2 linked regions of the Saccharomyces cerevisiae S288C genome follow. Changing the gene in region 2 together with the main gene of any one other region gives a genetic interaction. Each region holds a gene or a part of one and is shown on either strand. Other genes may lie near its edges.

Region 1 (3,943 bases), on a different chromosome or scaffold from region 2:
ATAAATGGAAAGCTCTACTTAGGGAAATATACAGATCAATAATTCCTGGCGGGTACGCGCTGGCAATTGTTCCAGATTTAAGGATTTCAAACACATACTATACTGGAATTCTTGGCAACGCCGATGCCGAAAAAGCAAATAATTCATCAGAAGAGTTTTTGACTACAAAAGAACGGGACAAGACATTTGATGCTATGGCTATTGATGCGATAAATAAAGGCTTACATATCCATCCTACAAAACACTTAACGAGGACATTCAAGGATGTAGGGTTTACAGGCATCAAGTCCTCGGTCCTAAGTTTGAAAACTGGTGACTTCAAAACAGATATGGGCTTTTTGAATGAATTTAATTCTTTAGATATGTGGGACTACATGTTAAGGAGGCAACTACCAGATAGTAGTTGTCCTCCAAAGGATACCGACCCCACCACTCTTTTCAAAAGATATGTGGAAGAACACATAGGAAAAATCGATGACAACGCTGGCTGCTTTAGAACTTTGTATGTGGTGGCGCAAAAGCCAAAGCTGCCATATACCAAATAATTGTGCCGCCGTTCCAATTTTTTTTTAAATTGTTCAAGAATTACTTCAATTTTTACTACTGGACAAAAAGCATTATGATAAGGAGTAGTCTCCCAGTATCGTAGAACCAATTTGAAACACTTTAGCCAATATTTATTAATTTTTTTTACTTCCCATGGCATAGTACTTTGTAGGAAGATTATTTGTTCATTTACTACATTTATTACATCTATATTTATATATTCTATACCATTCATTTTTTTTTATGTTAAGCTTCTCTTGGGAATTGTTGGGGTATGAATGTTAGCAGAATGACCCAACTCTTTTTCTAGCATAACTCCTAATTTTTTATCTTCTTCAGAAACGTCACGAATTAAACTGTCCTTTTCATCACCAGAATAGTATTTTACGTCCACTTGGGAAGCCAAAGAGTGCTCTGTTTCCTGTAACGAGTCGACAGTAGCTTCGTCGATTAAAACGTATGCTATGTTAGAACCCGGGCAATCATAATTAACGTTTAGCAGAAGTCTTTCCATTATCCCTCTCAACCCTCTGGCGCCAGTTCCTTCCTTGAGAGCAAATTGAGCAACTTTCTTTAGCGCCTTTTGTGTAACACACAATCTTACCCCAAATTGCTTAAAAATATATTCATATTGATCCAATAAGGCATTTTTAGGTTCTTTTAATATATGAAATAAATCGTCTCTTTGTAGAGGCTGCAGAGCAGTTATAATTGGGACTCTGCCAATTAATTCAGGAATTAGACCAAAGCTAACTAAATCTGTGGGGGTGGTCAAGTCTAAAGCACACACTTTTTTTCCGTTATCTAATTCAACCTGCTCAAGCGTATTGCTAAATCTGAACTTCTTCGCTCTTTCTTTTTCAACTTCTTTACTATTCGATGATTCAACAGACTCTCCTGCCTTCTGTATTTTCTTCATATCTTCTATCCTTTTAACAATATGCTTATCTAAACCAACAAAAGCTCCCATAATCATGAAAAGAATATTTGAAGTGTCTACAACAAATACTTCGTCCTTCTTTGTTGTAGTTTGATTTTTTTGTCCGTCAATATCATGCTTAACAGGCCTTTTAACGGTAATTTCCACTTTATGGCCCTCAATGATTTTCAATAATGACTGTTGAACCCCTTCTCCGGACACGTCTTTAGTGCCAATGCTTGCGGCAGGCTTGGCTAGTTTATCAATCTCATCAAGAACAATAATACCTTTTTCTGCTCTCGCAACATCAAATTCAGCATTTACGAGCAATCTTTCAATGCATACTTCAACATCTTCACCTATGTAACCTGCTTGAGTCAATTGTGTACAATCTGTAATTGCAATTGGAACGTTTAATATTTTCGCCAATGTTGTTGCCAACAAAGTCTTACCAGAACCTGAGGGACCAACGACAAGGACATTACTTTTGCTTAACTCTAAATCTTCGTCAACCTCTCTACCTGCTAAATTAAACTGTCTTTGAAGATTCCTCCAACCAGCCTTTGATTCGCTGTTTCCACTGAAAATTGGTTCATCCCTATCATCCGCGATTTTCTCTCGTTCCATCAATTCTCTCTGCCTTTGTAATTCCCCTTTCTTTTGCTTGTCATTGATTCTTAAATAGTGATTATAAACTGCCACGCTTAAAACCTTCTTACCAATCTCTTGACCAACAATGTACTCATCGAGGAATTTCTTCAATGCTTTTGGAGTGGGTATATTCGATAAACGAGACTGTGCCAGTTTCCCTGATGCTGTAGCAGCATATCGACCAATTCTACTAGAATAAGCTCTAAAAAAGTTTTGGCTTGCAGATTTCAACATGAGTGTGAAATGTAATTAGAGTGCCTTGTCTTCTATGGTTTTGTTTGATGAGCCGTTTGCTTTTCTTTTTAATTTTAATATATACCACTGATGACTTATTCCCTTCTATCATCGAAAAAATATTGTCAAATTAATGTTCTCTTTTTTCAAAAAATATTAAAAAGATAAGAAAGGTACCATGTCGCAGAAAATACAGCAGCATCAGTTTCCTGATTTTTATTGTTGTTATCTACTACAATCGATTAACAAGAGGCAATCATTTTACGTTGGATCAACTCCTAACCCAGTACGACGTTTGAGGCAGCATAATGGGAAATTGGCTGTTGGAGGGGCATATCGAACCAAACGTGACGGTTCAAGGCCCTGGGAAATGATAATGATTGTGCGGGGCTTCCCAAGTAAGATAGCAGCTTTACAGTTTGAACATGCATGGCAACATGGGTACCAAACGCATTATATTGCCGAAAAAGATCGTGTTGTAAAGCATAAAGCAGGTGGAAGAACTTTACATCACAAAGTTGCATTAATGAAGTTACTTTTAAAGCATGAATTTTTTCAAAGGATGAACTTGATAGTCGAGGTTTTTAATATAAAGGCTTGGGAGGTTTGGAAACAGGACAAATTTTTTATTGAAAGAGACAGATTTCCGATTAATATACAAATAAATGAAAATGCGCTTGAAGAACCAAAGGAGAAAACTGTGGATGTTCTCATGGATCATAGTGATGAGAATTTAAAAGTGGTGGAAGCTGTATACACTAAAGTCATTGAAAATGAAAGAAACATATTCGAAACTTTCGAAAAGAAACTAACTACAGGGGTAGTGCGATGTGAAATTTGTGAGAAAGAAATTGACTACACGTCTGAAGAGCAAAATCTGAAGCCGTTTGTAGCGCTTTGCAATAATAAAGACTGTGGGTGTGTTAACCACTTGAAATGTCTTCACAGGTACTTTCTAGATGATGAACAGTTGATGGTAGGGAGAAGAAATTTGATACCTCGAGGTGGGAAATGTCCGAAATGTGATATGTTTTGCGACTGGACGACCCTAGTCAAGTTTTCGACAAGAATGAAGTTAGCTCACGGGAAGTAGGGCCTGACACAATTTTCGGTTCTTTTTTTTCTATAGATAATGGTTATATGTTATATTTACGGATATTTTTACGTTTACTTTGTAAGAAAGAGCTAAAAAGATGTAAAGATATCACTTCGTTTTTTTCCCTCAAAAAATAACTTCCCAATCTTCAGTTATGTCAAGCGATAGGTTAAGAATGGTGATCTTATTATCATTCTCATATGACGATCTAGTCGGCAATGAACTTTCTTCGCCATTTTTTTTGACTTTAATACTGTCTTTCAACGTTATGTTGTGTTGTAAATTATTCTTTGCGATAATGATTTTTTCAATATTGGTATTCCTCAAAGTATTGTGGTGAATGCCTGTCAAATTCTCGGGAATATGACTTCGAACATTTTTTAAGGTATTGTTTTCGAAAATGAACTGAGTTTCTACGTACTCACCTCTTTGGTAGCCAAAAGTTTCTCCATCATCAACATAAAGATCTCCAACGGCTCGTCCCTCGGTATCAGGGG
Region 2 (5,877 bases):
ATCGTCGATGTAGTCAGTTATGTTGTCCTGAGGAGTAAGAATAGCAAAGAGTGGAGAGTCCCATCGGTTGCTTGAGTTAGGCTCTTCGTATCGTTGAATCAATTGATTCAATAACTCGGGTTCCCAAGGGTTCGGGTTTGAAGTCTTATTCCACTCGAATATAGTCTCTGGTGGACACAGTGTTTGAATTACACAAAATGTGGTGGACAAATTTTTCACCTCGCAGTGAAGTTGATACCGGAAACCCTTGATATAATTCAACGAGTCTACAATGACTATCTTGTTTTTAGATAGATCTCTTTTCACTGCGGAGATGATCTCCGACCTCAATTTTCTTTCATCTTGGGAAGTTATATAATCTGAATGTTTTATGCCTAAAGATTCATCTGAATGATAGGTTATGGAATATTTACTTAATGATGGGGTTGCATCGATCTTGGACTGTAGTAGTTGTACCAAATGTTTAGCAAGCGTTGTCTTACCACTACATGGGTATCCCGTAAAAAGCACCAGTGGCATCTTCTTACTAAATTGCCTGTTTAGTTTTTTCAAAAGTTTTACAAGGTCCCTTTACCCTCATTCTGATACGTTATTGTTCAAGTTTCACCTGTTCATCAAGTATTCTTCATTTCTTTTTCCATCGCGATGACGATGACAAAACGGCAAAAAGTCAAAGAAAAAGAAAAAAAAAGATTTTTTTTCCATCATATGCAGAGAGAATATGTCCAAGCCAAGCGCAGTGTGCATGTATGCTGTTTTTAGCATATCGGGTGTGCGAAAGGAATGACATAATGATTTGCAACTAATATTTCCTTATATAAATATGCTTCTGGATATGAGTCTCATGAAACAAGTTCAGTAATTGCTTGTTTTACCCTTACTTTTTTCTTGGTTATGACTTGTGTACATAATAAATTGCCTATTTTCCCAAATTGTGTCCTTTTTCCTTTCCGGTTGGTATGAGATATTTCTTTTCAAAAATCAAAAGAAAACAACAAAGGGTTGATATTATGTAATGCAATACCTAGAATCGGGAAAAACTTGTTTGTCGTACCAAGAGAGGCAGCACTGGCGTGCCTTGATTTAATATAACTCCTGAGATAGTGGGGGTTACATGAGTTGTACAGCATAAGACTCCCTCTCCCCAGTTCTGTTCGTATATGTCGGGCTTGCTTGCGAAAGCAAGGGGTTCAATAAACAGAAAACAGAGTTTTTGGATAAAGTTTAAACAACGGAAACAGAGCAACAATGAAGGAGAGAATAAGTATCAATTGTGTAATTCTGTATACCGTAGTGCACAGTACGCTGTGCGCAACTCTTGCCTAAAAAATCTAGTTATCAAGCGGGGTGAATATGCTACAATGCCTCTTTTACGTTGTACTCTATCAAGGGATGATAGCAGTGGCACATATTGATTGATACGACTTTTCGCCGCGCGGTAGGCGAAAAGCAAAGAAAACTACAGTAATATCCAGAAATAGATGCATTTTATGTGCGAAATAAAACTCATGCTGAAAAAAATAGTAATAATTAATAGGGTAACGAATAGAATGCAAACCTTATCACGTGAAAGAGAGAACAATCATAAATGATTTAGTGCGTAGGTCCAGATTTGCGAAACACTGCGGAAGGCGAGAAAAGAATTCGAATATGAAGTAGGTAGAAGCAGAGGTAGGGCCGCTATTTAAAGATATACTTTTTCTGTACGGGCCGGTGACTTCGCAGTAGTGATGTACTATGAGATCACTATTTTGCCGGAAACTGTAGGCAAAAACCGTTTATGTCTTTTTTTCACCTTACGGGATAACCTCTGCTGAGAATTTCCAAAACTAGGCATGGATGATTGCCGGAATTTGAAACCCGGGCCCCGGAGGTTGATCGCACGGCAAATACATAAGAACCTTCTCCGCAATACGGGCTTTCCTCAATTTTCTTGGCCAAAAAGCGAGTCGGCCCCGAGCTACAAATCGGGAACAACGGAGGAATAGAGCGACAAGTTGATTCGGTCGTGCAGCCCGGAAAAAAAAGGCTGTCCTGCGGGCTTTATTCACTCCAATGCCGCTGAGAGGAACACGCGTTTCGTGGGCTTTGGACCACTACCCCGGCGTTCAGAGAAACCCCCCGGGGCAGGGGTCCGAAGTCTAAAAGTTTAATCCGGAAGTAGCGACGGGGGGGAAGCCCGCCGCGCACAGATGGCCAGCACAACGGAGCGGGGCCGAGGCGGCAAACGAGGTTAAGCCCGCTGAACCTGAAAAAAAAAACGAAAATTTTCTTTCATCAAGGACTAAAGTTTTCTTATGTTACGGATCTTGCACGCGGTAAGCAATGGCCGTAGCCTTTTCACAGTTGCTTCCAAGTGTCATGTATCGATTTTGCAGATTGTTCTAAAAGTAAATGGATTGCTATTTTCTTTCCGAGACTACTCTAAAAAAATTTATTGAGTATGAGATCGTTTTTAGATAAATTATATATATTGTAAAGCTATTAACTAATCTCCTATATCAATTTCTTCTTGCTTAACCCCGTGTGGTTGTTTAGGTCCATCTCCTTTTTCCTTTTAATTTTTTTACCTTTATTAATTCCTTCACCTCTCTAAACCCCAGTTTTATATCGTATATGCTATCTACAGGTCCACTTTACACTTAATAATATAAAAATACTACTATAAAGGAACCAGAAAAATAAAAAAGGGTCATTATTTATTTGAGCAGATCATTATCAAACGCATAGGAAGAGAAAAAACACAGTTTTATTTTTTTTCCACACATATTTATTGGTCTCCTAGTACATCAAAGAGCATTTTAATGGGTTGCTGATTTGTTTTACCTACATTTTCTAGTACAAAAAAAAAACAAAAAAAGAATCATGACCGCAAAGACTTTTCTACTACAGGCCTCCGCTAGTCGCCCTCGTAGTAACCATTTTAAAAATGAGCATAATAATATTCCATTGGCGCCTGTACCGATCGCCCCAAATACCAACCATCATAACAATAGTTCGCTGGAATTCGAAAACGATGGCAGTAAAAAGAAGAAGAAGTCTAGCTTGGTGGTTAGAACTTCAAAACATTGGGTTTTGCCCCCAAGACCAAGACCTGGTAGAAGATCATCTTCTCACAACACTCTACCTGCCAACAACACCAATAATATTTTAAATGTTGGCCCTAACAGCAGGAACAGTAGTAATAATAATAATAATAATAACATCATTTCGAATAGGAAACAAGCTTCCAAAGAAAAGAGGAAAATACCAAGACATATCCAGACAATCGATGAAAAGCTAATAAACGACTCGAATTACCTCGCATTTTTGAAGTTCGATGACTTGGAAAATGAAAAGTTTCATTCTTCTGCCTCCTCCATTTCATCTCCATCTTATTCATCTCCATCTTTTTCAAGTTATAGAAATAGAAAAAAATCAGAATTCATGGACGATGAAAGCTGCACCGATGTGGAAACCATTGCTGCTCACAACAGTCTGCTAACAAAAAACCATCATATAGATTCTTCTTCAAATGTTCACGCACCACCCACGAAAAAATCAAAGTTGAACGACTTTGATTTATTGTCCTTATCTTCCACATCTTCATCGGCCACTCCGGTCCCACAGTTGACAAAAGATTTGAACATGAACCTAAATTTTCATAAGATCCCTCATAAGGCTTCATTCCCTGATTCTCCAGCAGATTTCTCTCCAGCAGATTCAGTCTCGTTGATTAGAAACCACTCCTTGCCTACTAATTTGCAAGTTAAGGACAAAATTGAGGATTTGAACGAGATTAAATTCTTTAACGATTTCGAGAAACTTGAGTTTTTCAATAAGTATGCCAAAGTCAACACGAATAACGACGTTAACGAAAATAATGATCTCTGGAATTCTTACTTACAGTCTATGGACGATACAACAGGTAAGAACAGTGGCAATTACCAACAAGTGGACAATGACGATAATATGTCTTTATTGAATCTGCCAATTTTGGAGGAAACCGTATCTTCAGGGCAAGATGATAAGGTTGAGCCAGATGAAGAAGACATTTGGAATTATTTACCAAGTTCAAGTTCACAACAAGAAGATTCATCACGTGCTTTGAAAAAAAATACTAATTCTGAGAAGGCGAACATCCAAGCAAAGAACGATGAAACCTATCTGTTTCTTCAGGATCAGGATGAAAGCGCTGATTCGCATCACCATGACGAGTTAGGTTCAGAAATCACTTTGGCTGACAATAAGTTTTCTTATTTGCCCCCAACTCTAGAAGAGTTGATGGAAGAGCAGGACTGTAACAATGGCAGATCTTTTAAAAATTTCATGTTTTCCAACGATACCGGTATTGACGGTAGTGCCGGTACTGATGACGACTACACCAAAGTTCTGAAATCCAAAAAAATTTCTACGTCGAAGTCGAACGCTAACCTTTATGACTTAAACGATAACAACAATGATGCAACTGCCACCAATGAACTTGATCAAAGCAGTTTCATCGACGACCTTGACGAAGATGTCGATTTTTTAAAGGTACAAGTATTTTGAAATAGGCATGTTGCAATAAAACGAAAACAACTAAAAATCACGAAAACAAAATGATATTATACAATAAAAAATTCTTATTATGGGTAATGATAGTATTCTTCGCCTGCTTAGGCGTCCTTTTCCTTCAACAACAAAAATTCCAAAAAAAAAAAGTAAAAAAACAAAACTTTGATTGTTTTTTAATGATGTTAATGATTTTTTTTTTCTTTCTTTATCATAAAAAAAAAGTTAAAATGAAAAACAAATATGGGTCTGGAAGGCCATTATTTTTTTTTTATTTATATACCGTTTCTGGTACTTAGTTATTTATTCTCATACATACACTATATTCAAATTACCTAAGAGCATTTTCACATATCCGTTTACTTTCATTTTTTTTTTTTTTGCTTCCTTTTTACATATCTTCCGTATATCACATCACGTTTACGCGTATGGTGAAACACGTCAAGAGAAAAATGATAAAATCAAATTTTGATTTACATCAGGCTCCACAGGACAGGGAAATCTATCTAGTGAGGCGATAACTGTAGTTCGATGTACTCATTTGAACTGGACAAATTGAAAATTGAGCTGAAAACATGGGAGCATGATTTCATTGATAAAAATAAAAGGGAACCCACAAGGGATGACATCAAGAGCCTGCGGACTGTTCGGCAGATGTATAAACAATATTCCACACTGAAGAAGAAACAATCTTTGCAACGACAAAAAGTTGACACTCAAGAGTCGGTTGAACTCCCGGCACATAAAAAAGACCACGACGAAGTCGTAGAGATAGGCCCTACTCCCCAAGTTTACGGTAAGGCGATTAGTATCTTTGACATGAATTTGTCGCCTATAAAGCCTATATACATGACATTCACAAATAATATTGATGTTAACAATGATAACTCCAAGACAATTTCTAATGAATCTTCTCCACGAAAAACTATTCTCCTAAAATCGTCGCCTGCAGATCGTACGTTAGTGGCGGAACCAATATCCAGTGTGAAACGCCAATTAAACTTTCAAATGCTAAACGCTTCTTCTACACGTACTCCGACTTCATCACCATGCAAGAATCGCAATGGGAAGTTGGTAGAAATCAAGAAATGTAGTCCAACTATTAATCCTCCACTAGAATCTGGCAAACCATCGGGGTATTATGGACCTAATTCCCCGCTAAAATTGGATGAAGAAAACATTCACCTAAACATCTCACTTAATTCAAGCACTAAACGCCGGCTTCAAATAGCATATCCATCTTTACAGAAGACTCCCTCAAAGGATCAAGCGGATATTTCAACTTCATTTAGTCCGTCTCCACTCATTAGAAGACCACTGACGAAATCCCTGATAGAATTGGCC

Evidence for each region. A genetic interaction does not mean that the proteins touch.
Region 1: mutations in HAP4 (region 2) and SLX1 together harm fitness more than expected from each alone (negative genetic interaction), as found in Saccharomyces cerevisiae (2 studies listed by BioGRID).

What each region holds. Positions count from the first base shown.
Region 1 is NC_001134.8:672,785-676,727, forward strand, and holds SLX1 (endonuclease), read left to right. Parts: upstream 1-2,528; coding exon 2,529-3,443; downstream 3,444-3,943. Other genes in the region: YBR225W (uncharacterized protein), read left to right, coding at 1-545; MCX1 (Mcx1p), read right to left, coding at 788-2,350; glucan 1,3-alpha-glucosidase ROT2, read right to left, coding at 3,573-3,943. UniProt on the Saccharomyces cerevisiae protein: Catalytic subunit of the SLX1-SLX4 structure-specific endonuclease that resolves DNA secondary structures generated during DNA repair and recombination.
Region 2 is NC_001143.9:229,362-235,238, forward strand, and holds HAP4 (transcription factor HAP4), read left to right. Parts: upstream 1-2,865; coding exon 2,866-4,530; downstream 4,531-5,877. Other genes in the region: KTI12 (Kti12p), read right to left, coding at 1-519; SLD2 (Sld2p), read left to right, coding at 5,065-5,877.